Linked DNA regions of Callithrix jacchus. The protein of the gene in region 1 interacts with the protein of each later gene in a pairwise test. Links are inferred from orthologs where the notes say so. Each region holds a gene or a part of one and is shown on either strand. Other genes may lie near its edges.

Region 1 (3,500 bases):
CAGATATGCTTGAGGACAGAAGCTCTGATGTTCCCAGGGGTCACCTCAACACTAAGCAACTCCAAAACAGACCTGGGAGCCCAGGGGGCGCTGCACACACCCCCTTCCTCCTCCCGCCTGGCCTGGCCTACCCCCACTAATGAGTCTCACCAGTCCCAGAATCAAGGGAACAGCAGAGTCCAGATGGGAAATGGAGGGCCGCCATGGCAGGCCCCCACCCAGCAGGCCCACCCAGCCCTTACCCCTGTCTAGAGGCCGGGCACCTGGCCTCCTCCCCACCTGGGGAATCCCACTGCACCCCTCAAGAGCCAGGGCTAGCTTTACACTGCCCTCTAACCACAGTCAAGCACCTTCCTAGTCTCAACACCCCCCTCCCTGGCCGGCCACCTGCTCCACTACACCTCGGAGGGTGCAGGCGACCAGCAGGGAGAGGAAGGTGTGGCCTGGCCCCAGGGGCCGCCAGCAAGAGCTGGGCTCCCCACAACAGCCTTCACATTGCCAGTCTTGCCCTGGGATCTCCTTGAGGACTGAGACCCACCCCTCATCTCAGAGTCCCCAGGCCCGGCCCGAGCCAGCTGTAAAGCAGGAGCATGCAGTGCACACGTAAAATGTAGCCCAGTCGTGAGAGGCAGGTACCCTGCCCTGGTCTCTGTCCCCAGGCCGAGATCCCTGTGATGAAAGTCCCCCCTTGCCTCTCCCCCAGTCCTGCTGGGTGCATCACAGGTGCCTTGGGCAAGGGGGCCCCCCATCTTCAGGCCTGGTGCCTCGGGGCTAACATGGATAATGACAGCCTCTGCTTCTGGGTTGTGAGGACCAAATGAGGCAAAACACACATTGTATAAAACCCCAAGACCAGTGAGGGAGGCTGCATTCCCTTCACACTTCACTGTGAACCCCATCCCGTCGGGCAGGCACCTACCTCCATTGTGTACGTTTTGCCGGCCCCTGTCTGGCCATATGCGAAGATGCAGACGTTGAAACCGTCGATGCAAGAGGTGATCAGGGCCTGCACTTCCTGGAACACCTGGGAGGGTGGTGGGAAGGAGGCTGGGGGACTTCCAGGGCCAGGGGGACCAGGGCCCCCCACCAGCTGCAAGTCCAGCCACCTCCCCAACAATGTTATCCTTCAGCAATACCACAGCATGTGTTACTGCAGTCACTCAGTTCAATGATTCATGACTCATGAGTCATACATTAGACATCAGTGGGCAACTGGGCTGCCCAAAGATAACAGGGAAGAAGACAGGCCAGCTCCTCCTGTTCCCTCTCTCAAAGAGCGCTCAGCACAAGGAAGGCAGAGGCCAGCACATGCCTGGTGCCTCTCTGGCCTGGGCCTGCCTGCCAGCCACCAGAGAATCGGAGCAAAGGTAGAACCAGACATGAGCACAGGAGGGCACAGGCATGGCAGGTTGGCCTGGGCAGATAAGGGAAGAGTGGACGCTGAGAACACATGATTCTTATGCAGCCTGGGGGGTTAGGGGGATCCCTAGGAAGGCGCAGGGGACTGATACAGGAGGGTACTCCTGCATGGAGATGGGCAGGGTCATGAAGATGGGTGGGGCCATGTGGGTGGGCAGTCACAGGCATGAGGGAGAGGGGCTGTGATGCTGGGAGGGGCCTGAAGGTGGGTGAGGCCATATGGTGGGAGGGTGGGAGTGGCACATGGTAGGAGGGGTGAGACAGGCCATGCAGATGGGAGGAGCCACAGCCATGAGGGTGGGATGGGCTGTGATGGTAGGAGGGGCCTTGAGAGTACGTAGGGCCACACAGTAGAAGGGGCCATGTGGATAGGAGGAAACACAGCCATGGTGGTGGGAGGGACTGTGGGTGGAGCCATGTGGTAGAAGGGGGTGTGGATATAGGAGGGGCCACATGGTAGGAGGAGCCACAGCAGAGAGAATGGGATGGCTTATGATAGTGGGAAGGGCCTTGAGGGTAGGTGGGGCCACACAGAGGGTGGGGCCACACAGTGGAAGGGGCCATAGGGATAGGAGGAACCACAGCCATGGGAAGAGTTGGGCTGTGTCTGGAGCTCTCCTTCCTAAGCAGGCTTCCAAGACCTTTGGTCTTAACTTCCCACCCTCTTCTGTCCTCCAGAGGAAGGAGCCAGAACCTGGCTTCCCACTTTGTATTCCTGCACCCCCTACTCTTGCACTTCTTCCTGCCCAGCCCCTCTCCCTCCATGTGAGTCCATCTTTCCCTCCCTCCACTGCTTTCCCGTCCCTCACGGGGCTACACTCACGTCCTGCTGTGAGGCCTGTGGGGAGAAGACCTTGTCCAGCTCGAAGGACACAGGCTTGCCCTTGTGCAGCAGGTGGATAATGGAGTCATCATCGGCATCAAAAGTCACAGCATTGGTGGCCTCGGGTCCTTCCCCGTCCTCTTTGGTGACTGGCCGGACACGAGCAATCACTCGGATGTTCCCTGGGTTGGTTGGGGATAGATGGAGAGATGGGCCCAGGCCGTGTCAAGACCAGTCTCCACTCTGGTCCACTGGTCTGTCCCAGGCAGACTCGTTAGCCTAGGAGTCCCCCAACTTTTAAGCATAGTCCCCTAGGGGAAGGAGGCCCAAAAAGCTGTTATCAGTCACTCACACTATAGTATGAATTCACTTAGTACATTTTCTTCCTGAACAGACCAGGTGACAGGGGTGGCACTCTGCCTTGGGGATGGGGTGGAAAAGTCAGTTGTGGGGCTCAGGCACTGCACCCAGTCAGGGTGAGACACCAGGACAGACACTGTCTTTTTCTCCCTGGACTTCAGTTTCTTAGACAATGAGGGGCTTGGGCCTGAAAGAGCAAAAAGTCTTGTCCTGAATGGCAGGACAGGGCTTGGGAATCAGATGGGCATAGAGGCCTAGGCAGCAGCTGATGACTGGCAGAGTATCTGAGGGCCCAGATAGTGGGGCAGCCACAGGGGTGTCTGGTGGCATGAGCTAGTAATGCCACCATCTACTTCCAGCCTTCGTTGTGTTCCTGGAATGAAGAGGAAACGCCCCCCACCACCAGCATGGTCCACCCGCCCTCCCGCTTCGCCTATCCATTCCAGCTCACAGTCCAGGTCTCAGCTCTAAATTTGCCTTCTCTGGGAAGCCCCTCAACATACATGACTGTCACATACCCAGGAGCCTGTCTCAGCTCTGGAAGTGGGCAGGGTTGGGGTTCCTGACAATTAATCATCATTGTCTATTCTCACACCAAAATGAGCACGGGGAAGCAGTCTGTGGGGCTGTGACCGTAGCCTTGACTGTAGCCTCGGGCTGGAACAGCCCCTGGCTCAGAGCAGGTGCACTAGAGCTCCATGCAGTGAATGGTAGAGTCTCAAGCTTCACCAGGCCCCAGGTCAGAACAAGTAGCATTCCAGCCACTCCTTACCCAGTGCTGCAATACCACACCCCTTGGCCACCCAGGGCCTCGGGAGTCACCTGCTCGGGCATTGGGGCCGGGGCTTCTGAGCTGGACAGACCCAAGTTCAAATCCAAGGCAGAACATTTACTAGCC
Region 2 (3,500 bases), on another chromosome or scaffold:
CTCCAGTTCATCAAAAGATGAAACCATAACATGTGAACTAAACAACAGCTTTGTTAACTTCTTTTATTTTGTGGCCCACTGACATGTTTTCATATTTAGCATAATTCTTGGTGGAAAAGAAGAAGTAAAGGGAAGAGTGACAGAGGCAGGAGGCTTGTCGCCATATTCACTGAGGTACGTTTGGTAAAGGAAAAGTCTTTGATGTATTTTACCATGATAATGAAGTGGCAGAAGAGTCAAGGAGAGAGATGTTCACACACACAGAACCAGCAATGATGGTGGCTTAGCTACCCTGGAACAAGTACCAAGTGGTACTCTCCTTGGGAAAGTGGAATGACATGGATTAATTGAGGAAAGGCTAAGGACTACATAAATGAATGAGAATGGCCCCAATAACTGCCCAGCAAGGAAATATACAACTTGCTTGTTACCCATTGTAAGGTCTTTGTAATGCCCTGGGAAGCTTACACTGTCTATGAAACACTATACTAAACAACCTAACATGTCTTACAAACACTTGCCTCGTGGCGCCCCGGCCAATCTTGAGCAGCTTACTGCTTCCTTACATTTCCTTATCTCTGGCCACAGGCCCCAACTACACCATGACTTACTGATGAAGTTAGCCTGGCCAGTGAATATGGTGTACTGAAGCTCATAGGAGCTGATGCTGAACTCATCATCCGAGATCCAGTGGACTGTAATGGTGTCATGGGAGGCAGTACAGAGTTCTTCTCGGATAGATGGTGGGTTTGGGGCTGTAAGGAAAGGTGGAAAAGAAAGTAAGGAAAGCACAGTCTCTTTTGGAATTTTACAATTGTTACTCTTCCTGCCTAACCCAACATCTCTTGAAGAGGTGGTTTTCTTAACAGAGAAGCTTTAGATTGCATGAACCATGCAACGTGAAGCAAAATGCTGAGACCTCAAGCTCCCTAAAACCACTTTTGCTACAACAACGAAAATATTTTAGGCAAAGCTATAAACCTAAACCTAAATTTTTGTCATGATTGCCCCAGCTGTCTAGTCACCCATATAAATACTTATGTAGACATTAAAGTGATTATATGGTTTTCTTAACATATGGTCTTCAACTTACTGTTATTTTTAATTTCAGAATGAGTTTTATTATATATATATTTTAGACATAAATCTCTCTATATATATATTTTAGATTTAGATTTTATTTATATATATATGTATATATCTTACATTTTTCATATATATATGTATATATATATATATATATGTATATATCTTACATTTTTCTTCCTGATCTGCTAATTCCTGACCTTCCCTAAAACCATTTGGGTTTACTCTCTTAACAAGAAACAATACATTCCTTTTAGATTCATAAGGACAAATCTATCAGCAATTTCTTGTGTTTTACTCTTAAGTATAGATGGTATACCCATTCCGACCCTAGAAATAGTTAACAAATCATAAATCATCTTTCTTTTCGGTTACATGAACTAAAATATGTTTTGTCTGAAATTTTACATGCATCATTTTAAAAATTATAAAACATTTTCATTATATTGTCCTTTTCAAATTATTTTTAAGTAAAAGCATACCAGAAGAAAAAACAATAAATGGGAAGGAAGGCACAGTATTTTCACACCTGTTAAATAATCTAGCCCCTCTAGCAGTTTCTTTTCTCTGGAAAAATCTAAAGCAAAGTTTTCAAAGGCATCATTAAAATTGATGTCTGGAATCAGAACTTGAGAAGATGCAGTTGCCATAGCGACCCTGAAAAAGAGAAAAGTACATCAATATACATCAAAATAGGTTGTAACCTTCACCCAGTGTTTGATTTCTGGTTTAACAAGGTGAAAATAAATGACTTGTAAGACTTGATTTATTAAGTGAAAATATCATATCTGCCTTTCCAATGGAAACCATTTAAATTTTAATCATCAGGAACCAATGAAGAGTTATACCATATTTATTCACATATGTTTACCCCTCAAACACACTCCCCCATCCGGTCTTAATTTTGAGAAGTAAATACAGGATTTTTTCCTCTCTGCATCATTTTCCATCTGGCAAGCAGCATCAAAACTTGACCTTTAAAGGCTTGGTAAGAACAGTTTGAAAGATATTTTTCTTTTTTGTTTATGCTAGTCAGCAAGCCAGCATGCTAGGTTAACACCTTCCCTAAATATATCCTTTATGTGATTTTTTTTTTTGAGAAGGAGTCTTGCTCTGTCACCCAGGCTGGAGTGCAGTGGTGCCATCTCAGCTCAGTACAATCTCCACCTCCCTGACCCCCTTCCAGGTTCAAGCGATTCTCATGTCTCAGCCTCCCTAGCTGGGATTACAGGCACCCGCCAGCAAGCCCAGTTAATTTTTGTATTTTTAGTAGAGGCGGGATTTCGCCATGCTGGTCAGGCTGGTCTCAAACTCCTGACCTCACGTGATCCATCCGCCTCAGCCTCCCAAAGTGCTGGGATTAAAGGCATGAGCCACTGTACCCAGCCTATGTGATCTTCTATAATATTTATATTTCACTTTATTATCCTCCAATTGTATAGTGCTATGATAGTTTTATCTTCCCAACTAATTCTAAGAGTCTCAAGAGCAGGGTTCACATTTTGTACCCCTTAATATCTTCCATAGCCCCAACACAGCGTTTAACACATAGTGAAAGAATAATTGATGAATGAACAATTGAATGACTAAAAACAAAATAACTGCTAACATTTGTTGAGTGCTTAGTATATACAATGCACTGTGCATTCACTTTACATAAATTATCTAATTTATTCTTTACCATAACCCTATGTAGTAGACGTTATTTTCATTTTGCAAATGAGAAAGTTGACACATTGAAATGCTAAGTAACTTGTGCAAGATCACACAACCAGTAAGAGTCAGAAATATAACTGAGCCCATGTCCATCTAATTCTAAATTTTATACCCTTAACCATTTAGACTGTTCATTTCTTCAGAAAATTGAGGTATATTTTCCATACTAAAGCTATTCTTAGCCATTGTTACACATCAGAATTATCTGGAGGAATTTTGCAAAACTCCACACGTTTTAGTTCTGTGCCAGATCTTCTAAATTAGAACCAGTGAAGATCCTTGAACCTGTAAATGATGGTGTGGAAAGAAAAAATTACTTGGCAACAATATGTAGGTTAGAGGAGAGAGAAAAGGTGTTATATGTAGGAAGACCAGAGAGGAAACTTTTATAGTGAACTAGTTGTAAAGGGAATGAGGAACTGAAAAATACATATCCTTATGTACATATACACTACTACACATCTACCAATACATCTCTTGTTTCTGAAATTACAGATGTTTCAGGGATAAACTACAGGCCAAATGAAAGACTAGCTCAATACAATCATTAGGTCTCACATTGAATAGCCAGTCTTCCAGGATTTGGTGAGTAAGGAGACAATAACCTGTAACAGTTAATCCAGAAAATTAGCTCATCAAATTTCTTTCTGGCCTTTCCAATCTTCTTTATTTCCTCTATCCATCTATCCAATATTTAC
Region 3 (4,026 bases), on another chromosome or scaffold:
CAGTGTGAGGATACAAAAAGCTGGCAGTCTGCAACACTTAAGAGGACTCTCACTAGAACCCAATCATGCTGGTACCTGATCTCAGAGTTCCAGCCTCCAGAACTGTAAGAAATAAATTTCCATTATTCAAACTACCTAGTCTATGGTAGTTTGTTCCAAAGCTTGAACAGACTAAGACAGCGTGTTAAACCACAATCAGAAATGCCTCAACTTTAGAAAGAGAAAATATTCAAATACAAACGGAAACGTCTTATTAAATGAACATTAATTTGATTTGCAAGTATATAAAGAGATAGTGCCATTATTAACCACAATATAATTCTAAATAAGAGGAATAAAAGGGGCAGGTGCTGTGGCTCATGCCTGTAATACCAGCACTTTGGGAGGGCGAGGCAGGTAGATCACCTGAGGTCAGGAGTTTGAGACCAGCCTGGCCAAAATGGTGGAACCTCATTTCTACTAAAAGTACAAAAATTAGCTAGGTGTGGTGGCAGGCACCTGTAATCCTAGCTACCTGGGAGGCTGAAGCATGAGAATTGCTTGAACCTGCAAAGTGGAGGTTGCAGTGAGCCGAGACTGCACCACTGCACTCCAGGCTGGGTAACAGAGTGAGACTGTATAAAAAAAAGAGAGAGAGAGAGAGAGATAGAAATGGGAGAGAAGGAGGGAGTGAAAATATAAAAGGGAAGGAAAATAGGTCTTGACAAATTAAGACCATAACACTGAGCAACAGATTATGGCATCTGTCCCCACAGTTGCATTATTCTCTTACATAGTCTCTGTCTTATTTTCATCTGGTCCATCTTCACATTTTTTTTTTTTTTTTTTGAGACCAAGTTTCACTCTTGCTGGCAAGAGAGCTTTTTAAGATGAAAAATGGTACACAAAATAATGGACTTACCTCCATAAACCCTTCAACAGCTTCCCATTATCCCCAGAATCATGTCTAAATTCCTTAGTGTGGCAGTCAGGGACCTTGATGACCTAATCACCGCTTTTTCCTCCAGACACGCTTCTCAACATATTCCCCATAATTCCCTTGCGATACAATTACTTGTCCTTCCCTACAAATGTTAGGTCACTTCTCACATCTGTGTTACACACAGGCCATTCCTTTTAACTGTGTTCCTCTCAGTAGATGGCCATAATTTGATAGACAAAATGGCTAGAACAGTTGGATCACAGAGTGACATAAATCCTGACAGTATAAAAATATGACTATTACCTACAGTATGTCCAGAATCAGTCTTTGCAAGGGATGATTATGGTTGACCCAAGATCTGCCAACTATATTTTCTTCCAAGAAGTCCCTGGTGCTTCCAAGCAAGTCCCTGCTGGGGATACATTGTATGCTCCAAAATGAACAGAATGTTAAAAACTAATAAGATTTGTGAGAGTCTTTTCTTGGCAAATTTGACAATAATTCGTGTCTATTAAGTTTTTATTAGTCACATAGTAAATGAAACAGAGGATGTGATATTTAAATATATACATTTGACATTTAGCAAGAAAGACTACGAATGTAAATACTGATGAAAAAAAGTGCTTTTTGTTTAATACGTTGTAAGCAAACCAACTACTAAAAAGTTAACATTTCATAAATAATTTGTGAAGCAGCCATTCATGTCTCCTTCCTAACATTAATGATTAAAATAGTAACCGGGATGAGCGCAGTGACTCATGACTATAATCCCAGTACTATGGGAGGCCAAAATCAGAAGGATCACCTGAGGTCAGAAGTTTTGAGACCAGCCTAAGCTATATATGATACTGTGTCTACAAAACACTTTTAAAAACTAGTGGGGGTTTGTAGTCCTCACTACTTGAAAGATTAAGGTGGGAGGATTGTTTGAGACCAGGAGTTGGAGGCTGTAGTGAACTATCATCACGCCACTGCATCCTGGCCTGGGTAACAGAGCAAGACTCTCTCAATTAACAAAAAAAAAATTTGAGTCCTAAAAGGGATCCAATTTTATTTTAGAATTCACATTAACAAGGATAGTAATAATAGCAAAAGCTAACACCGGGCTCATAGTAGTTACACATTATTCACCTACAAAAGTTTTTCAGGTCTGGATACGGAAGTGGACATTTTCAGTATCAGGTTAAACCTCTAATGGAACAAAGACCAATGTGAAGTTTTCAACCGTGAAATCTCCTTTAATACATCTTACCTTGGGATATATCTCAGTTCACTTTATGGAATATAAGTCTATAAATACACAGACAAAACTATTTTCTCAATTCATTTTGGTTGTTAGAATGACTCATTTAATTTAATAAGGATAGAACTGCATTATCAGCTGTGTGGGTATATTTAACAAAGACAAAGAAAATTTAGGAAATCAAATGACATAATGTAACATGTAGTAGAAGATACTGTTGTACTGAGGAAAGGCTACTACACTTAAATTCCAGGGACCTGAAATCTAATCCTTGTATTGTTATGTGATTCCAGCTTAAAAGCTGAAGATGGGAAAGATGTTCAACATTAGTCATTGGGAAACTGTAAACCAAAACCACAATGAGATATTGTTTTATACCTAGTAGGGTAACTATAATCATAAAAATTAGAAAAATTCACGTTGGTGAGCCTGTGAAGAAACTGAAACACTTACACATTGCTGGTGGGAATGTAAGATGATAGATGTACCGTGGAAAATAGTTTGGTGGGTCCTCAGAAAGTTAAACATAGAATTACTCAGCAATTCTGCTAAAAATAGGCACTCAAAAATAAAAATACCTGTATGTAAGTCTTCATAGTAGCACTATTCATAAGAGACAGAAGATGAAAATAACCCCAATATCCATCAGCAAGTGTGTGGATGAATAAAACCTGTCCTACATGCACAATGGATTATTACTTCACCATGAAAAGAAGTGAATTACTAATACATGTTACAACGTGTATGTGCTTCCAAAGCAATAAGCTAAGTGAAAGAAGCATGTGATGTAAGCATGTCCTATGAATTTACCTGTTCTGTATTATTCTATTTATATGAAATATAAAGAACAGGTATATTCACAGGGCAAAAAGAAGATTTGTGTTGCCAGGGTCTGTCTAATGGTAAGAGAAAATAAGAGTGACTGCTTAATAAGTATGGGATATTCTTTTGGGGTAATTAAACTGTTTTGGAACCACACAGAAGTGGTGATTGTACAACCTTGTGAATGACTATGCCTCTGAATTGTACACTTTAAAATGCCTAATTTTATGTCATACAAATTTCACATTAAAAATGTTGAAGGAGAGCCTTCTTGAATGGCCACATGGAGAATTCAGCACATTTTCTCACAAAGCAAAGATAAAGCTGCATAACTGTCCCAAACAACCATTTCAGATCTAAAAATTGATGAAAGGCATAGAAAAAAATGGTGAAATATTTATTCGAGAAAATCTATTAAGCTTCAGAAGAACAGTAAGAGTCTGTGGCATTGCATCCTTTAGTTTCTACCTTATTCACCAGCCCCATTCTCTTCATTGCTCTATTTCTACCAGGACATAGCAAATTGTAAGGGATACCAGCTTTCCTAACAGACAGAGAAGAAACAATTTTGAGCTGAGCTTGGAAAGGCCCATGTCCTGAGCTGTTGTCAAAAACAATAGCAATCCTAGGTGGCCAACAGTCAGAGAAGGGCACTATCACAGCTTGCCTGAGATTACAATACTGGAGATAAGCAGTGGACCTGCCTACAGTCAGAAATTTTATAGCGAGATCTGAAGAAAGCACCAGACACAGTGGGCCGTGATAAACGTGCACATATCCTGGGGTTGGGAAGGCTGTAAACATCAGCATAAGGTGGTGGAGAGAATCCTAGTTATCTACTCAGATTTGCCTGAATGTAATGTCTTATATGTGAAGAAAGTAAAAGACAGGGCAGCTTCATAAACTACCCGAACTTTTTCAATGTGTTTCTCAATGCGAACGCTGATCCATCAGCAAAGGATGGAAGTCCTCTTGGCTGAACATGCTTAAGCACAACCTTTGACAAGTCAATGTCTGACCACTAAAACAATTTAGAGGA
Region 4 (4,300 bases), on another chromosome or scaffold:
TGGGTCCATTTCTCTTTCTCCTGCTCCCAGTAGTTACCCAAGAGCTGGGGGAGAGAAGGAGATAAGATAAAGAGATTAGAGAATAAGGCAAGAATCTTGACTGGTGAAGAAGTGGGTGGGCCCAGGGCAGTCTCCATAGGGTGCACCTTGATTTGGGGTTGTGAGTGAGTGGGCATCTCTACACTTCCAAGACAAGGTAAAGAAATGGGCCTCCAGGAAGTATTGGGATCCTTAAGTTCTCTTTTCCAACCACCTCTGCCCAGGTACTCTTCTGGTGTTCCCTCCCCAGGGGAGAGCCCCAGTCTCCTTCCGTCTCCTCTAGGGCCTCGTCTTTCCTCTGTTCTCAGCCTCTGGGGGGGGCCTTTGGTCTTGGCCCTGATACCCACCAGGCCCAGTGGGGCGGCCTTCACATGCTCTCCCAGATTCACTGATGTCTTTCCTCTCGATAGAGTCCCAGAGAAGCTCAGATACCAAAGAGGCAGCTACTGACCTGTGTCCAGGGGCACTGGATGGGACTTGGGGGCTTCTTCTTCCCCAGCAGGGCAGGGTATGCAGTGGAAAGCCCAGAAGCTGGAGCCTGACTCCAGGCTGGGTAATCCGGAGCTCAGGTTACTGACTCCGATATATATAGTATCTTATCTGACCTCGCAGACTCGCAGAAATGGCAAGTGCAACTCACTTACATTCCAAGCCTGGGAGAATTAAAGGGGCAGTGGCATGCCCACCCTGGAGGGGCTGCCCTTTCGGGCCAGTGCCAGCCAAGGAGGTCTGTGAGGACTCTTGGAAGGGGGGTGTTTTGAAGGGGAACAATCCGGAGATTCAAGAGGAGACAGAGGACTGAGAAGATCGTGGAGGGGTGGGGGTAGAACTTGAGGCAAAAATACAGAGAAAGTGGATTTTCTGGAGCAGTCAGTCACAGAATTAGAGACAGGAAGAAGCCATACCGCTAATCCCACTCTAATTTTGAAACAGAGTAGACCTAGAGAAAGCAAGCAGCTTGCTCAAGGGCATGTACAGATAGTGAGAAGCAGAAAGGGGACTGTACTCAGGTTTCAGTCCAATATCCTTTTCTAATGGACTTCTAGGCCTGGGCTTGGATGCTAGTTCTTTCCTTTATTGGCTCTGAAATAGTGAAGAAGTCACTTACGTTCTCTAAACCTTAGCTATGAATCTGCAAAACAGGAATTTAATAATGGTCTATATTGTGAGGATTAAATAAAATAATATTTGTAAATTTCCTGGCACATCATAAGAGTTCAATAAATGATGATGATGATATTGAATACTTCCACTTATTATTATAATTAATGGTATTATTAGTAATAGTACCTTACCAGGTGAACCTTCCTAGGGAGAAAAGGAAGGTTACATCTGGGGAAGTGTTCCTTTCTAATGCCAGAGAACAGTTCCATGGTTTTCTGAACTGACCATGTCCCATAACTGGGAAGGGCAAACAAGGCTTGCCATCTTCCTAGATGTCCAGTCCACCAAGCAGAGAAAGGCCAAGCCCATTTGGGCTTCTTCCCCCTTTGCCTAGAAAAATACAGCAAGCGCAGCTTCCCCCGGGCCACCAGGAGAATGCCTGGCCCCTCCGGGGTGGTTCCACTCTACCTGTGCGAGGGCTTAGGATTCCAGGGTCACAGAGCCGGGCTGGGTGGGGTCACAAGAGGAAGGAACAGCGTTCTTAGCCTCTCTGGCCTTGGTGCACTTGTCTGCTCTCAGGACGTTTCTCAGTGGCTCTCCCTGAGGACTGGGAGTACCCAGGCTGGTGCCTCCACCCTGTCTTAGCACAGGCTACTGACTCAGCCCAGGTCCTGATGATGCACCTCATTCCAGTCCTCATTCTGACTTCAGTCTGACGTGCATCTGCAGCATCAAAAGAGGGGGGCCTGCCTCGACCTTAGCCCAATCAGCTCTCCTTTCCTCCGCTTTACAGGGGTCCATCTGGGGGATGTTCCCATGTTCGTTCCAGGGGAGGTGAGCAGCACTACTTCCAGCTCAGTCCCATTCTAAAAGCAGCCCGGTCAGGACGTTCACTCTTCAGGGAAGGGCTAGAATGGGTTGGCTAGGGCTTTCCTTGACTGTTAAGAAGTTGCTCTCTTCGGTGCACCGCGTGCCTGCTTCTGGTTTGGGATTGGTGAGAATTTCAAAGCTGCCTCTTTCTGGTTTGGGATTGGTGGAAAATCTTGCCTTCCGCTTAATTGTTGCCCCCCACCAGCCCCCAACCCCCTTTGACGATCTGACAAGCTACAGCCCCGGGAGCTTTAAGAGCAGCGAGTGAGCTGCAAGCACACGTGGGGAGGGGGTTTGTCCGTGTCACTCTCGGGCCACAGACCACCGATATACACAGGGCACAGCAAGGAGGACCCGCCGAGGCAGCATTTCCTTAGAATACACTGATCAGCACACAGATGGCTCTTCCTGGCACCCTGGGTTTCAGCAGGCAGCCCCCACACAATTGGCAGCCACAGCTGGAGCGCCCCTGCACAGCCGACTCTCGCCCTGTATTTCTAGTGCCCATTCTGCCCAGGCTGTCATGGACACCTTACTTTCTGAGCCCCAAACCGGCACTGATCCCCGAATCCTCCCTCCCGGATCCCCGACAGGTGGCACTTACCTGCCTCTTATTGGAGGATGGACGAGTCGAACCGGGCACAAGCATGGAGCTGCTGGTGAGACCCGGCTGGCGCTGGCAAGGCGCAGTGAGCAGCAGCTGACGCAGAGGACTCCCCGGCCTCTGCTCCTGCCTGTCTCTCCCCCACCTCAGCCGGGGGCCCAGAAGGGACCTCCGCGGGAAATCGGCGCCACCCAGCGGACAGCCGCCTCATCATTCCTGAGCCGGCAGAGCCACACCCCGCGTCTCGCGTCACTGAGACGCGTCACGGGTATTGGCTTGTTCCTATTATGGTGTCACTACAACCCGGCCCGGCTGGGGTCTCCCAGGCAACCGATATACACAGAGAACCACGTGGAGGAACAGCACGCGAGTTTGGAGCGGGTGGAGCAGGAACAGAGGTGGACTGGAATGTCACACGACGGGGCAGCTGGAAGCTATTGGGAAAGGAGAGGGGTCATGGAAGAAGGCTCGGAACTTGAGCCGGGGCCTATCAACTTACAGTTTTTAGGGAAGGCTAAACGTCTCCTACTCCCCTTCTCACCGGGCTGGGGGAGGTCCCTTTCCTCAGCCTCTTCTTTTTTTTCTCAACTCTCAAAGATACTCTCCGCTCATTTTACTTCCGCGAGACCAGGAATTAGTGATGAGTGCCTGAATGGGTACACGAAGGCACTGAGTCGATGGAAGGAATTCTCTTTGGTCTTTGAAGAAAAAGCCGAGACAAAATTTGAATTTTTGCCACTCCCATTCATTTTATGTAATTTTATCTCCACTTCCCCGATGTTGATGAGGAAAACCGCCCCACCAGGTAGGTGGGTACAAAGGCAAATCAGGTTTTCAACTTCAGCTATTCCATCAGTCCTTGCGGGTGCCCTTAACTCCTTCCATCTTCACAATAGAGCTCTCTCTCCATCGCTACTCTCCTCAAGTCCTTCCTTCTCTTCTATTTCCCGGAGAAATCAGACTCGATCAGGAGGGGAATACTTAAATTTCTACCTACGAACATGTCTGACTCCATTCTTACCAGGAGCAGTGAAAGAGGCACCCCTATTATTATCCAGGACCATCATTCCCTTCTTGATTTCAACCGTTTTTTTTTTGTTTGAGACAGATTGTCATTCTTGTTGCCTAAGATCCAGGCTGGAGTGCAATGGCGCAATCTCGGCTTACTGCAACCTCCGGGTTCGAGTGATTCTCCTGCCTCAGCCTCCCAAGTAGCTGGGATTACAGGCCCTCACCACCACACCTGGCTAATTTTTGTAATTTTAGTAGAGATGGGTTTTCACCATGTCGGTCAGGCTGATCTTGAACTCCTGACCTCAGGTGATCCACCTGACTTGGCAACCCCAAAGTACTGGGATTACAGGCATGAACCACTGTGCCTAGCCCCAGCTAATTTTTTTGTATTTAGTAGAGACGGGAGACGGAGTTTTACCATGTTATATTTCCTTAGGGCCCTCATTTCATCATTTCATTTTACAGATCGATATTGGACATGCCAGTCACTCTTCTAGAAAGTGGGGATATAGCAGGGAACAAAACAGGAACAATCCCTGCCCTCAGGGAGCTTACATTCTAGTAGAAGCAGGACAATAAATAAGTAGAGTATGTAATACCTTAGATGGTGCTAAGAGCTATGGGGGCACATTAAGCAAGGAGGAGGTGTCTTCAGAGAAGGTAACATTC
Region 5 (4,200 bases), on another chromosome or scaffold:
TTAAGAAAGTCCCTTAATTTTCATGTCTCTTCAATATTCTGTGTCTCTTACTTCACTAACCTTCTTTTTCACCCTCCTGCCTTTTATTATGGGTGTCTTATTACACTTGTATGGGACTTTATCCTTTAGCATGTCCATGTAATAGACCACTATCTTTTTTTTTTTTTTTTTTTTTGAGACGGAGTTTCGCTCTTGTTACCCGGGCTGGAGTGCAATGGCGCAATCTCGGCTGACCACAACCTCTGCCTCCTGGGTTCAGGCAATTCTCCTGCCTCAGCCTCCTGAGTAGCTGGGATTACAGGCACACGCCACCACGCCCAGCTAATTTTTTGTATTTTTAGTAGAGACGGAGTTTCACCATGTTGACCAGGATGGTCTCGATCTCTTGAGCTCGTGTTCCATCTGCCTTGGCCTCCCAAACTGCTGGGATTACAGGCTTGAGCCACCGCGCCTGGCCCAGACCACTATCTTTAGGCAGAGAACCCTATATCTTCTTTAGTCCCTATTGTCTACCCTCTCTCAAGTCCCATAATTTCAGTTGCCTCTGGGACACCTTCACTGGCTTTTATCTGGAACTGTTATCTGGAACTGAACATATTGAAAACTAAGGTTCCTCCCCAAATCTGAGGGTTGCGCCAATTTCCCTGGCCAATTGTCTCGTCTATCCCCTGGTTTTACGATCATATTTTAACATTTAAATCGATTAATTTCTTAAAATTGGAACCTTGATGAATGTTACAGAAATCAATGGATACAAAGGATATGCCGCGAGATGTTAAGTTTTCCTTCCATGGGTTCCCCAGGCACTCAGTTCCCCTCCCAGGAGGTAACCACTGTTGCCAGCTCTTAAGAGTGATTTTTGATTCCTCCTTTTACCAGCTCTGTCTCAAGTCCTTCTCTGTCTGTGAGACGTGTGCTCTTTCCTTTCCAGGCCCTAGTGAACTGATAACTGGTTGAGTTTATATATTGAGTATATATATGTGTATTTTTATATACATATATACCATCTCTCCCTATGGCCTTCCGGCCTGGAGTTTTCATCACGTCGCTTCCTGGATGAAGGAACCTAGAGGGGTGAGGGGCAGGGGTTGGGGGTAATGGAGAAGAGGACCTAAAGGGGACTTAGGTAGGGGGTCCAGAGTGGCCGACTGGCGTGACGCTCTGCCGGGATAACTATTCCTCCCACCTCAGGCCCCCTTCCAGTCTTCTCATCTAAAAGCCTCTCGTTTCCAAGAGCCGAGGCAGAGACAGAGACAGAGAGATACACAGAGACAGAGACGCCAAGGCACCAGCATCCCTCTCACCCTTCTGTCCCGCCCCATCGCTCTGACGGACACTACCCTTCAGCCAATGGCGCCCACGATGTGCCCTGGAAGGGCCTATGAGCACCAGAGGAGGGCGGAAGATTCCCCGCCCCCACTTCTAGGCTTGGTTGAGCCGTGCAGGTAGGTCCGGGGCTGGGGGAGCCGCCGTTGGCACTGGTGCCCCTGGGGGTGGGGGCACGAGTGGGTAGGGGTGATGGTGAGGCAGAGGAGTCGGCCCCGACCCGGGGAGTCCGAGGGAGCGGCCCGGCTGGGAGGCCAGGGGCCGAGGGGTCCGGGGAGCGGGCGCCGCCAAGGGCCCTGGAAGCGGCGGGGCTGGGGGAGCGGGGACGCGTGTGTGGGGCACGGGGACCCCCGCCTGGCGCCCATTCGTAGGCCTGGGCCGCGGGCTGCAGGCAGAGTGGCCCGGGGGCCTGGCTGCCCGGGGGGCGGGCCGGGGCCGTGGCCGGGGGTGCGGAGCGGAGCTAGGGGCGCCAGGCCGAGTCGAGGTGGGACGGACCGACGCTGAGAGGAAGGGAAGCGCATCCCGCGGGCCGCCCCTCCTGAAGCGAGCGGGGCAACGGCCGCGGGCGCTCCTGCCCTGAGCCCACCTCGCGCTCCCCCGTCCCTAACAATGGGAATGGGGCAGAAGGAGGTGTCCCGCTGCGGGGAGGTGAGAGGTAGGTTTGGGACTGGGGTCCGCCGTGGGGGGAGGTGCGACCTCGGGCTCTCGCCTCTCGGCTCCAGCTGGCTCTGGAGGTGGGGCCCCGGTGGGGCTCTGAAGCCCGCCTGAGACTTGGGTCAAGAGTCAAACTGCCACCCCCTCCCCCCTAAAATCCGGTGAGCGGTAAGGAAAGTGATGCCAAGTCTTCGAAGCCGAAGTGACAAACGCATAGCAAGAACACATCCACTCCAGAGGGGTGTTTATTTTTTATGTTTATGTTTATTTTTATTTTTAAAAAGGGTACTTTTCGACATTTATTTTTAACGAGGTGGGTGCTGTTATTTTTGTCCCTACGCGGGCAAGCCTCCATTTTAAGCGAAGCAGTAGTAACTGGTTAAGCTGGAATTGTATTCAGGCCTAGGACTTGAACAGGGATTCTATCGGAGGTCATTTAGTCCATCCTCCTGCCTCCAGGCAAATTTACCTTCCTCCCACCCTCAAAATTAAGTTGTTGGTTTTGTTTTTAATGATCTCTGGGGAAGAAGGGTCTTATTATTTGTTTCTAGTACTTCAGTCAAGAATAGCTTTTACTTTTAATGTGGAATTGACTCTGAAACTTAAGCATAATCTTAGACAGGACGATCAGAGAGATTTTACTTTACTAAATACAATTAAATGTTGCAAGGGTCTTTTTTTTAGATGTTAGTTAGCAAATCACCTTTCAATAGTGTTTATGAAGTACACTGGAAATTACTTTATTCTCTCTAGGATTTGGGCTAATTGATAAACGATTTTACATCATCTAAAATATGTGTTACATATTTATTTCTCTTTTTATGTAAAGTATGTTTCTACACATATATACAGAGACACAAACACATTTGCCCTTTTCTAGAGGGGACTGTATTTTGTATACTTTTTTAGTATGGTGAGGCAAATAGTACTTCAAAATCCCTGCCCAGGTAGCTTAAACTATTTGCATTTTCTTGATTATTTTTTAGTCTAAATGAAAGTCCTCTCTTTCAGATACCTTCTCAAAACAAAAGATTTTCCTACCTGCTCATACTTGGTGACTTGAGGGAATTACTAAGACTTCTTGTTCATTTCTGAGTGTTGCCTTAACTATATCCTGACACTATGAATGCTATTTGGATGCCTCCTAAGGTAAGATGTATTTTTTTCATTACCAGCTTCATTTTATTCCGAATTGGGAATATAATTTTTGAATTTGCTGTTCTTCAGTGCCTTTACATGACATTTCTCTTGCCTCTTGTGTTTGCTTCCTAGGATTGATTGGCTATACTTGTCGCTTCTTGATTTTCTTTGTATTGCTACTGTTTGATAATTGGTGTGAACATTTTAATGACATTCTCAAATTAACTTCCATTATAACGAAAGGCTGTGATCTTTTTAACTTTAAATTATGGCAACCTACATAGTTGTGAAATTGTGTTCTAATCTTAGGATGGGCTGGCAATTCAGACATCTAGGTCCACTTTTCAAACAGGTACTTTAGAGTCACAGGTACTTGGGTGTGTCCCACTCTTGCAAATCAGTAGCTGATTCATGTGTTACAAAAGTTGTGTCATTAACCATTTGTTTACTCTGAAACTTCATGTGGTATATTAGAGCTTTCTAAGACCTGCTGGTTTACATGTATGACTCTTTTCAGAGTCCTCCTGCTGCACCCTATCCCTTTGTGCAACATTTCACACTTTTTCTTAACAGGTAGCACTTACGCCAAGTTTTATCTCACAGGGTAAACCTCATTTGGACAGTGTGGACAGATGACCTTTAAATGAAAAAGCTCCCATTGATGTTGTGGTTCTCTAGTCTCTTTGGCTCGTCTAATCTCTTGTACATAGATGGCCAAATAATTCTCGATTAGGACAAGCAAAGGGCAGAGCTTAAGACTTAAGTAGGTGGCTTCTTTGATTTTCTTGTGAGTAAAAATACATTTAAAAGATGAAATTAAATAAAAACAAAAAAGACGTAGGGAGGGAGGAAGGACAGAGAAGGATAAGGAGTCTTGGAAACCCTCCACCAGATTTGCCTTTCTTCAGAGTTAGGTACTAGCTTCATTAAGATGGTTGTGTGCTAATCTGCTCTGTGGACTTCTAGATTAATGCAGAGGAGAAATAAAACAATAGTGTTGTCTGTGTAACCTAAATATCTGGACTTGTGGGAAATCTTAGGTAATGTAGACTGAGTTCTCATCTTCATTTATGTTTCAGC
Region 6 (3,500 bases), about 26 Mb from region 1:
GACAGTGTTAATAATCACCGTGTCACTGGCCAGCCCTCTGTGCTCCCCCAGGCTTGGGGCAGGAGGTAGAAAGGTACCCCTTCTGGGTCCTGCACCCTGCAGCTCCCACCTGTGTCCCGGGCCTGCAATGCTTGGCTCTGCCTGGTCTTAGGAGGAGACCCACCACTCTCTACTTGCCCTTTGAACTTTTGTGTGTCTTTTTTTCTGAGACAGTCTTGCTCTGTTGCCTAGGGTTAAGTGGCGTGATCTTGGGTCATTGCAGCCTCCGCCTCGCAGGTTCAAGCAATTTTTCTGCCTCAGCTTCCTGCATGGCTGGGACTACAAGCACCTGCCACCATACCTGGCTAATTTTTATGTTTAGTAGAAACGAGGTTTCTCTGTTTTGGTCAGGCTGGTCTCAAACTCCTGACGTCAAGTGGTCTACCCACCTCGGTCTCCCAAAGTGCTGGGATTACAGGCATGAGCCACTGTACCTGGCCGTGTCTAACTTTTCCTGCTAACCAGGCCTGAGAAATAGGAAGAAGTTACAAAGCTTCCAGAATAAGACTGAAGACATTATTTCCAGTTGACAGTCATGGGCTCCTGCTTTGTTGAATGGCTAATGCGTGCAGGGAAGGAGTCACAGGCTCTTAGAGTGTCACGCCATGTGATTTATGGGGGGGCCTTGAGCTAGGAGGTGTTAGCTCTGTGGGTGTCAGCCCTGTCTACGTCACCACAGCCCAGTAAGACGGGGGAACGCATCCCTGCTTGGTGAGCTTCTGTCCCTGTTGAAGCTGGGAGACTTCAGTGCAGCCCCTTCCTTTGCTGGTTTGTGGCTGTCATTCACCCTGTGACAGCTGTGCCCAGTGCTTTGGGTCCTGAGGGTGGTTGTGGTGCCCTGGGAGCTACAGAATAGGAATTAGCCCATTGGTTAAAGTGTCCCTGAGGCTGTGGGTACTTGAAGGTTTCACACGGCCCTACCCCCCACCACTGTCAACCAGGAAACAGACATAGCACACCGCCCTTCCCAACCAGGGTTTATTTGGTGCCTGGGCCCCGTGGTGGCTGCCTGGCTAGGTTGGGTACTACAGGGTCGTGGCTCCTACCAGGTAGAAGAATGGCACTGAAGAGGGCAGCACTGAGTCCTGACCATGAGGACATGAGGAAGGCCGAAGGCAGGGCATGGTGAGCATGGGTCATGCGTGGCTCTTTGAGGGGCGGGGGGAGATCAGGAGGTGGGATGCTGGCTCCAGGAAGCCGCCCCTGTCACTGACCACCTTTTGCTGCAGCAGGACCCTGGCAACATAGGTGCTGCTCTGCCAGCTCAGCTGGGGGGCGGGGGAGGCCTTCCCTTCCCAGCAGGGAAACACCTTTTTGTGGAGGATACATTGGAAAGACAACTTCTGCACCAAAGTTTCTAGTAAACAGGGGATGACCTTTACAAGAAGAAGGGGCCTCTGGGAGGCGGTCAGTCCCGTCCCACTGTACACCAGGCAGCTAGAAGGAGAGAGAGACGGTAGAGCACTGAGCAGCCTCCTAGCTGGTGGTGCTCATCTGGAAGGGCAGGTGCTGGTATGTCTCCCTCCCCAGCTCCCTGGGGAAACATCTGCTTCCCTGGTAGCTGCAAGGCAGAAAAGCCCTTCCTGCGTCTGGCAACTCAGAGCTCTGCTAGGGCTGGCCATGGTGCACGGGTGCTCACTGGTCACCCGGGTGTGAACTACAGTCCCGGGAAGGCACATTCAGTCTGGCTGGACGTGCTCCAGGGGAAGCTCTGGCATCCACAGCTGCTGCAGGTGGGGCCCCTCAGAGCTGTCTGTGACCTGGACGCTGTCCTCCCTCAGGGCTCTCTGCACACCTAGCAGTGACCCACAGGTCCTCCCAGCAGCAAGCAGGGAAGGCTGCAGTCGGCAGGGGCAGCCTCTGGTGCTGTTTCCCGTTCTCTCTACGCAGGTGGCCACAGTGGTTCTAGGCCTTCGTCTCCTACCTGGCACTGAGATCCTGGAGAGGGCCTCGGGCTGGCTTAGCGTGTCCACCTTGACATGCCGGAACGCCTTGCACACGGGGCTCTGCAGGTGCCTGCCACCCAGGGACGCAAGTTAGTCAAGGGGGTCCGGGAGTGGAGCCCGTTGATGCTTGCTGTGCCCAGGAGCAGGACCTTATCCATCATCGTGGGGGGAATCTTTAGACTCAGAGCATTTGTAAGAAGGGAGGCTGAATGTGGGTATCTCTGGGGTAGGTAGGGAGATTTTCTTGCCCCTGTGAGCCTTGCAGGTGCTGCAGGTACCCCGCTCATGAGTGCACAGCGCCCCTCACTCTGACTTTACCCTAGGAGGAGTGGGGCCACCTCTACCCAGGACAGATGACAACATGAAAGCTGGGAAGGGTTTCAGGCCCTCATTTTATGAGTCCCTGAAGTACAGACAGGGAGGAGATGCCCCTGCTCCCACCGGGGTCCTCAATTTGTCAGCAAACCCTGAGTGTTTACCGGGGAAGCAGGTAGCAGGGGCATGAGCTTCTCCCTGATCCCTCTTCCTGCCTGTGAGGTCCAGCATGTGAGAAACAAGTCTATCCAGGGAGGGAACAAGCGGCCCTAGCTGTGTTCTCTGAGCAGCACATAGGACCCCAAAACCCATCAGAGCTGATGACTTCCTCTACCATCCCCCACCCACTGAGCTGGAGGGGAGGTTCATCGCTGGCACTGCAGATCACCTGGGGCCTGGATTACCTTCTGTGTCGAGCCCTCCCTCCACATGGTATTAAATAAGGCAGCCCCAGGGATGGGCAGGGAGGAAATGGGGAGAATCGGGAGGGCGCCTGACCTGGATGGGGCCGGGAATGGGATTTCAACCCTTAGCCCAGCAGTTTTCTCAACACCCCAAGGCAGCAGCTGTGGGGGGGTAGATCCTCAGCTGGGCTCCCTGGGCACCTGCATTTAAAGAGCCCAACTGGGTGCACTGGGGGGTTTTACTATCCCCCCGAGGACTCCTACGTGCAGAGGAGTGAATAGACATGCGTTTGCGTTGGGAGATGCCTTGTGACTCTGCGTGCTGGACTGGGCTGCTTGGCTCCAGGAGAGGGGCCCGGGCAGCCGGCCATCCCCCACCCGGGCTTCCCCATCGCCTGCCACACTCACCTCTTCCACTCTTCCTCCGTCTCCCAGAACTCGTAGACAACAAAGGTAAAGCCGTCTGAGAGCCTCACGGCAGCGATGCTGCAATATGAGACGGGAAAGCCTGTACTTAAGCGTGCCCTCCCCCCCACTGCTCCCTTCCAGGACCCTGAGGACCCCAGACCCAATGGCTGCCTTCAACCTTTCTTCCTCCTCATCGTGACCCTAGAGCCCAGCTCTGAGATGCCCTAAGACTCAGGGGGTTGGGGTCACCAACAAGAGCTTCCAGGATCAGAAGAAAGGGACTTTGCTTTCTTTTCAGCCTGTTGCCCAAGCTGGAGAGCAGGGGCAGGATCCCACTTCAGCCTCAGAGGTAGCTGGGACTCTAGGCCTGGCAAATTCAAAAACTGTC
Region 7 (3,500 bases), on another chromosome or scaffold:
TCCTTCTTCCTGGCCCAGCTCTCTGATCCCATATCATCCACCTTCTTCTTTTCACCAGTCCTTTCATCTCTTTTTCCCTTACTCCCCAGTCCCCCACTTTCTCCCATGCAAACTTCATGTGTTTCTCCCTGCCTTTTCCCTCCTAGGCCTGATGGCTCGAAAGCTCGCTGTTGCTCGGTTGCGCCAGGAGAGGTGAAGTTTGTGCACTTTGAGGATGGGGCTTTAGGGTGGGGTGGATGGGGCTTTAGGGCATTGGCTGCTGGGACCCCTAAAACAATGAGGACTGAGGCGGGATGGGGGCTTAGGGGTCAGGAAGCTGGGTGACTTCTCCTGACTCTTTCTCGTTCCCATCCCAGCTGTCCCCTACCCCCACCCGTCACAGACGAGAGCCTTGAGTTGCAGCAGCTTCGTGAAGAACGGAACCGCCTGGATGCAGAACTGCAGCTGAGCGCCCGCCTCATCCAGCAGGAGGTGGGCCGGGCTCGGGAGCAAGGTACACCTGGTTGCCAGGGGGTGAAGAGGATGAAGGATGACCTGGCATCCAGGGTGCCAGGAGAGGCCTGAGCCAGCACCCCCTCCTTTTAGGGGAGGCAGAGCGCCAGCAGCTGAGCAAGGTGGCCCAGCAGCTGGAGCAGGAGCTGCAGCAGACCCAGGAGTCCCTGGCTAGCTTGGGACTACAGCTGGACGTGGCACGCCAGGGCCAGCAGGAGAGCACAAAGGAGGCTGCCAATCTGCGGCAGGAGCTGACCCAGCAGCAGGAACTCTATGGGCAAGGTGTCCAGAGGGGAAAGGGGTGCTTCCCTTGGAGGGTGGAATGGGAACTGCAAATCAAAGTTCCTGCTGATACGCCCCATCTTCACCTTCACCCCAGCCCTGCAAGAGAAGGTGGCTGAAGTGGAAACTCGGCTTCGGGAGCAACTCTCGGACACAGAGAGGAGGCTGAACGAGGCTCGGAGGGAGCATGCCAAGGCCGGTGAGCTTTGCCAGGGTGGATAGGGCTTTCCAGGAAGAAGGAAGTGTTCAGACATAAGGTTATTATTTCCCCCTCAACGTTTTTTCAAAGCTTCATTACAGGAGGTAATGAAGGTATCCAGGAATGACACAGATGAATTCTCACATCATAAACACACCCATGTAGCCTGCACCAGATTAAGAAACAGCATATGAGGCCGGACGCGGTGGCTCACGCCTGTAATCCCAGCACTTTGGGAGGCCGAGGCGGGTGGATCACGAGGTCAAGAGATCAAGACCATCCTGGTCAACAAGGTGAAACCCCGTCTCTACTAAAAATACAAAAATTAGCTGGGCATGGTGGTGTGCGCCTATAGTCCCAGCTACTCGGGAGGCTGAGGCAGGAGAATTGCTTGAACCCAGGAGGCGGGGGTTGCAGTGAACCGAGATCGCGCCATTGCACTCCAGCCTGGGTAACAAGAGCGAAACTCTGTCTCAAAAAAAAAAAAAAAAAAGAAACAGCATATGATCAGCTTAGGACCCCCACTTCCATACCCCTTCCAGTCATACCTCTTTACAGAGGACACCACCTTTCAGATGTCTAACACCAGCAATTACCCTCTAGCAAAAATTTCTCACACCTGAACAAGTTAAAAGAATTGGGACCAGCACTTTGGGAGACCAAGTTGGGAGGATTGCTTGAGTTCAGGAGTTCCAGATCAGCCTGGGCAACATAGTGAGACCCCATCTCTTAAAAGAAATACAAAAATTAGCCAGGCATGGTGGTAGGCACCTGTAGTCCCAGCTTACTTGAGAGGCTGGTGCGGGAGGATCATGTGAACCTGGGAAGTTGAGGCTGCAGCCAGCCAAGATTGTGCCACTGCACTCCAGCCTGGGCAATAGAGGAAGACCCTGTGTCAAAAAAAGAATTGTGTGATGAATATTCATATATCTTCTCTAACTGTAGCGGTTAACATTTGCCACATTTGATCTCTTACCTATATATATATACATATTTATACACTTTTTTGAATCACTTAAAGTAAGTTGTAATCATTTAATGTTTTTCTTTGTTTTGTTTTGAGATGGAGTCTTGCACTGTCACTCAGGATGGAGTACAATGTAATCTTGGCTCACTGCAAACTCCTGGGTTCAATCGATTCTCCTCCCTCATCCTCCAGAGTAGCTGTGATTCCAGGCGCCCACCACCACACCTGGCTTTTTGTATTTTTAGTAGAGACGGGGTTTCACTATGTTGGTTATGTTGGTCATGAACTCCTGACCTTGTGATCCGCCTGCCTCAGCCTCCCAAAGGGCTGGGATTACAGGTGTGAGCCACTGTGCCCGGTGTAATCATTTAACGTTTTAAGTAAGCTGTAAATATAAGTCATTCAGCTGGATCTCCCAAAACCAGTGAATTATCCTATATAGCTATCATCACACTTTAAGAAATGAACACTAATTGCACAAAATCTAACCCAGTCTATATTCAGATTTCTCCTGAGGAACTCCAGGATGGATCAGGGATGAGGAAGGTACTTAGGTTCACAGATTCCCAGGCTCCTGGAGCATCAGCTCACTCCTCCAACTGTACAGAAGAGACAGATCCACAGAGCAAAACAGCCTTCCCAAGACAGAGCTGGTGACCCAGTGTTCGTTCCTGTTTTCGTGGTGCCTGGCTGCCTCTGGGCTGACTCACACCTGCCCCCTCTGTGCCCCAACCTCTCTGCAGTGGTCTCCTTGCGCCAGATCCAGCGCAAAGCTGCCCAGGAAAAGGAGCGGAGCCAGGAGCTCAGGCGTCTGCAGGAAGAGGCCCGGAAGGAGGAGGGGCAGCGACTGGCCCGGCGCCTGCAGGAGCTAGAGAGGGATAAGAACCTCATGCTGGTAGGAGACAGGATTACAGGGACTAGGGCCCATCCTGGGCTGGTTCCCGGGCTAGAGGTGTAGAAAGAGGATGGTGGGGGAGGCTCTACCCGGGCTAGGTGGCATTTAACCCTCTCCTTCCCAGGCCACCTTGCAGCAGGAGGGTCTCCTCTCCCATTACAAGCAGCAGCGACTATTGGCAGTTATTCCTTCCCTACTGGATAAGAAGAAATCTGTGGTGTCCAGCAGCAGGCCTCTAGGGTGTTCAGCATCTGTACCTGTAGCAGCAGCAGTGCCCACCAAGGAGTCTATAAAAGGTCTTGGCCCAAGCATAAAGGGACAAGGGATAAATGGGGACACTTCAGGAATCTCTACTCCAGACTCTTGCATGATGAGTGTTGTTCTCTGTGATCCTTCCAGGCTCTTAGCCTCTTAGCCATGCCCTGCTTGGACCAAATGGCCTCCTCCCTCTTAGTTTCCCTTATGTCCTGTGCCAGCCCTATTTCCTCCTCTGGTGCTCATCCCCTATCTTCTTTCCCAGGGTCCCTCTCGGTCCTACTCGATGACCTACAGGGCCTGAGTGAGGCCATTTCCAAAGAGGAAGCTATTTGTCAAGGACATGACCTCGATAGATGCTCCAGCTCCAATCCCCAGAAGAGCAGCTAAGCAGCTGAGAACTGGAGGGA

Evidence for each region.
Region 2: the proteins of KIFC3 (region 1) and MID2 interact in binary tests that used the Homo sapiens proteins (3 or more experiments, as listed by UniProt). The two-hybrid records come from large-scale screens. The link is inferred for Callithrix jacchus from reciprocal best matches to the Homo sapiens genes KIFC3 and MID2.
Region 3: the proteins of KIFC3 (region 1) and SOX5 interact in binary tests that used the Homo sapiens proteins (3 or more experiments, as listed by UniProt). The two-hybrid records come from large-scale screens. The link is inferred for Callithrix jacchus from reciprocal best matches to the Homo sapiens genes KIFC3 and SOX5.
Region 4: the proteins of KIFC3 (region 1) and USP2 interact in binary tests that used the Homo sapiens proteins (3 or more experiments, as listed by UniProt). The two-hybrid records come from large-scale screens. The link is inferred for Callithrix jacchus from reciprocal best matches to the Homo sapiens genes KIFC3 and USP2.
Region 5: the proteins of KIFC3 (region 1) and KANSL1 interact in binary tests that used the Homo sapiens proteins (3 or more experiments, as listed by UniProt). The two-hybrid records come from large-scale screens. The link is inferred for Callithrix jacchus from reciprocal best matches to the Homo sapiens genes KIFC3 and KANSL1.
Region 6: the proteins of KIFC3 (region 1) and NECAB2 interact in binary tests that used the Homo sapiens proteins (3 or more experiments, as listed by UniProt). The two-hybrid records come from large-scale screens. The link is inferred for Callithrix jacchus from reciprocal best matches to the Homo sapiens genes KIFC3 and NECAB2.
Region 7: the proteins of KIFC3 (region 1) and CCHCR1 interact in binary tests that used the Homo sapiens proteins (3 or more experiments, as listed by UniProt). The link is inferred for Callithrix jacchus from reciprocal best matches to the Homo sapiens genes KIFC3 and CCHCR1.

The regions. Positions count from the first base shown.
Region 1 is NC_133521.1:15,650,106-15,653,605, forward strand, and holds part of KIFC3 (kinesin-like protein KIFC3), read right to left. Parts: intron 2,425-3,500; coding exon 2,243-2,424; intron 1,025-2,242; coding exon 920-1,024; intron 1-919. UniProt on the Homo sapiens protein: Minus-end microtubule-dependent motor protein. Involved in apically targeted transport. Required for zonula adherens maintenance.
Region 2 is NC_133524.1:104,457,732-104,461,231, reverse strand, and holds part of MID2 (putative E3 ubiquitin-protein ligase MID2), read right to left. Parts: intron 1,744-3,500; coding exon 1,616-1,743; intron 756-1,615; coding exon 522-755; intron 1-521. UniProt on the Homo sapiens protein: E3 ubiquitin ligase that plays a role in microtubule stabilization. Mediates the 'Lys-48'-linked polyubiquitination of LRRK2 to drive its localization to microtubules and its proteasomal degradation in neurons.
Region 3 is NC_133510.1:47,292,599-47,296,624, reverse strand, and holds the start of SOX5 (transcription factor SOX-5), read right to left. Parts: upstream 2,801-4,026; 5' UTR 1-2,800.
Region 4 is NC_133511.1:19,030,766-19,035,065, forward strand, and holds the start of USP2 (ubiquitin carboxyl-terminal hydrolase 2), read right to left. Parts: upstream 2,801-4,300; 5' UTR 2,618-2,800; exon of another isoform or gene 2,607-2,617; intron 1,978-2,606; exon of another isoform or gene 1,867-1,977; 5' UTR 1,612-1,866; exon of another isoform or gene 1-1,611. UniProt on the Homo sapiens protein: Hydrolase that deubiquitinates polyubiquitinated target proteins such as MDM2, MDM4 and CCND1. Isoform 1 and isoform 4 possess both ubiquitin-specific peptidase and isopeptidase activities.
Region 5 is NC_133506.1:86,974,678-86,978,877, reverse strand, and holds the start of KANSL1 (KAT8 regulatory NSL complex subunit 1), read left to right. Parts: upstream 1-1,400; 5' UTR 1,401-1,445; intron 1,446-2,991; 5' UTR 2,992-3,129; intron 3,130-4,200. UniProt on the Homo sapiens protein: Non-catalytic component of the NSL histone acetyltransferase complex, a multiprotein complex that mediates histone H4 acetylation at 'Lys-5'- and 'Lys-8' (H4K5ac and H4K8ac) at transcription start sites and promotes transcription initiation.
Region 6 is NC_133521.1:41,654,596-41,658,095, reverse strand, and holds part of NECAB2 (N-terminal EF-hand calcium-binding protein 2), read right to left. Parts: intron 3,191-3,500; coding exon 3,113-3,190; intron 2,056-3,112; coding exon 1,964-2,055; intron 1,479-1,963; exon of another isoform or gene 1,477-1,478; coding exon of another isoform or gene 1,448-1,476; exon of another isoform or gene 1-1,447. UniProt on the Homo sapiens protein: May act as a signaling scaffold protein that senses intracellular calcium.
Region 7 is NC_133505.1:35,964,447-35,967,946, reverse strand, and holds part of CCHCR1 (coiled-coil alpha-helical rod protein 1), read left to right. Parts: intron 1-146; coding exon 147-192; intron 193-356; coding exon 357-493; intron 494-585; coding exon 586-774; intron 775-871; coding exon 872-973; intron 974-1,063; coding exon of another isoform or gene 1,064-1,167; exon of another isoform or gene 1,168-1,261; intron 1,262-2,683; coding exon 2,684-2,835; intron 2,836-2,959; coding exon 2,960-3,131; intron 3,132-3,355; coding exon 3,356-3,480; 3' UTR 3,481-3,500. UniProt on the Homo sapiens protein: May be a regulator of keratinocyte proliferation or differentiation.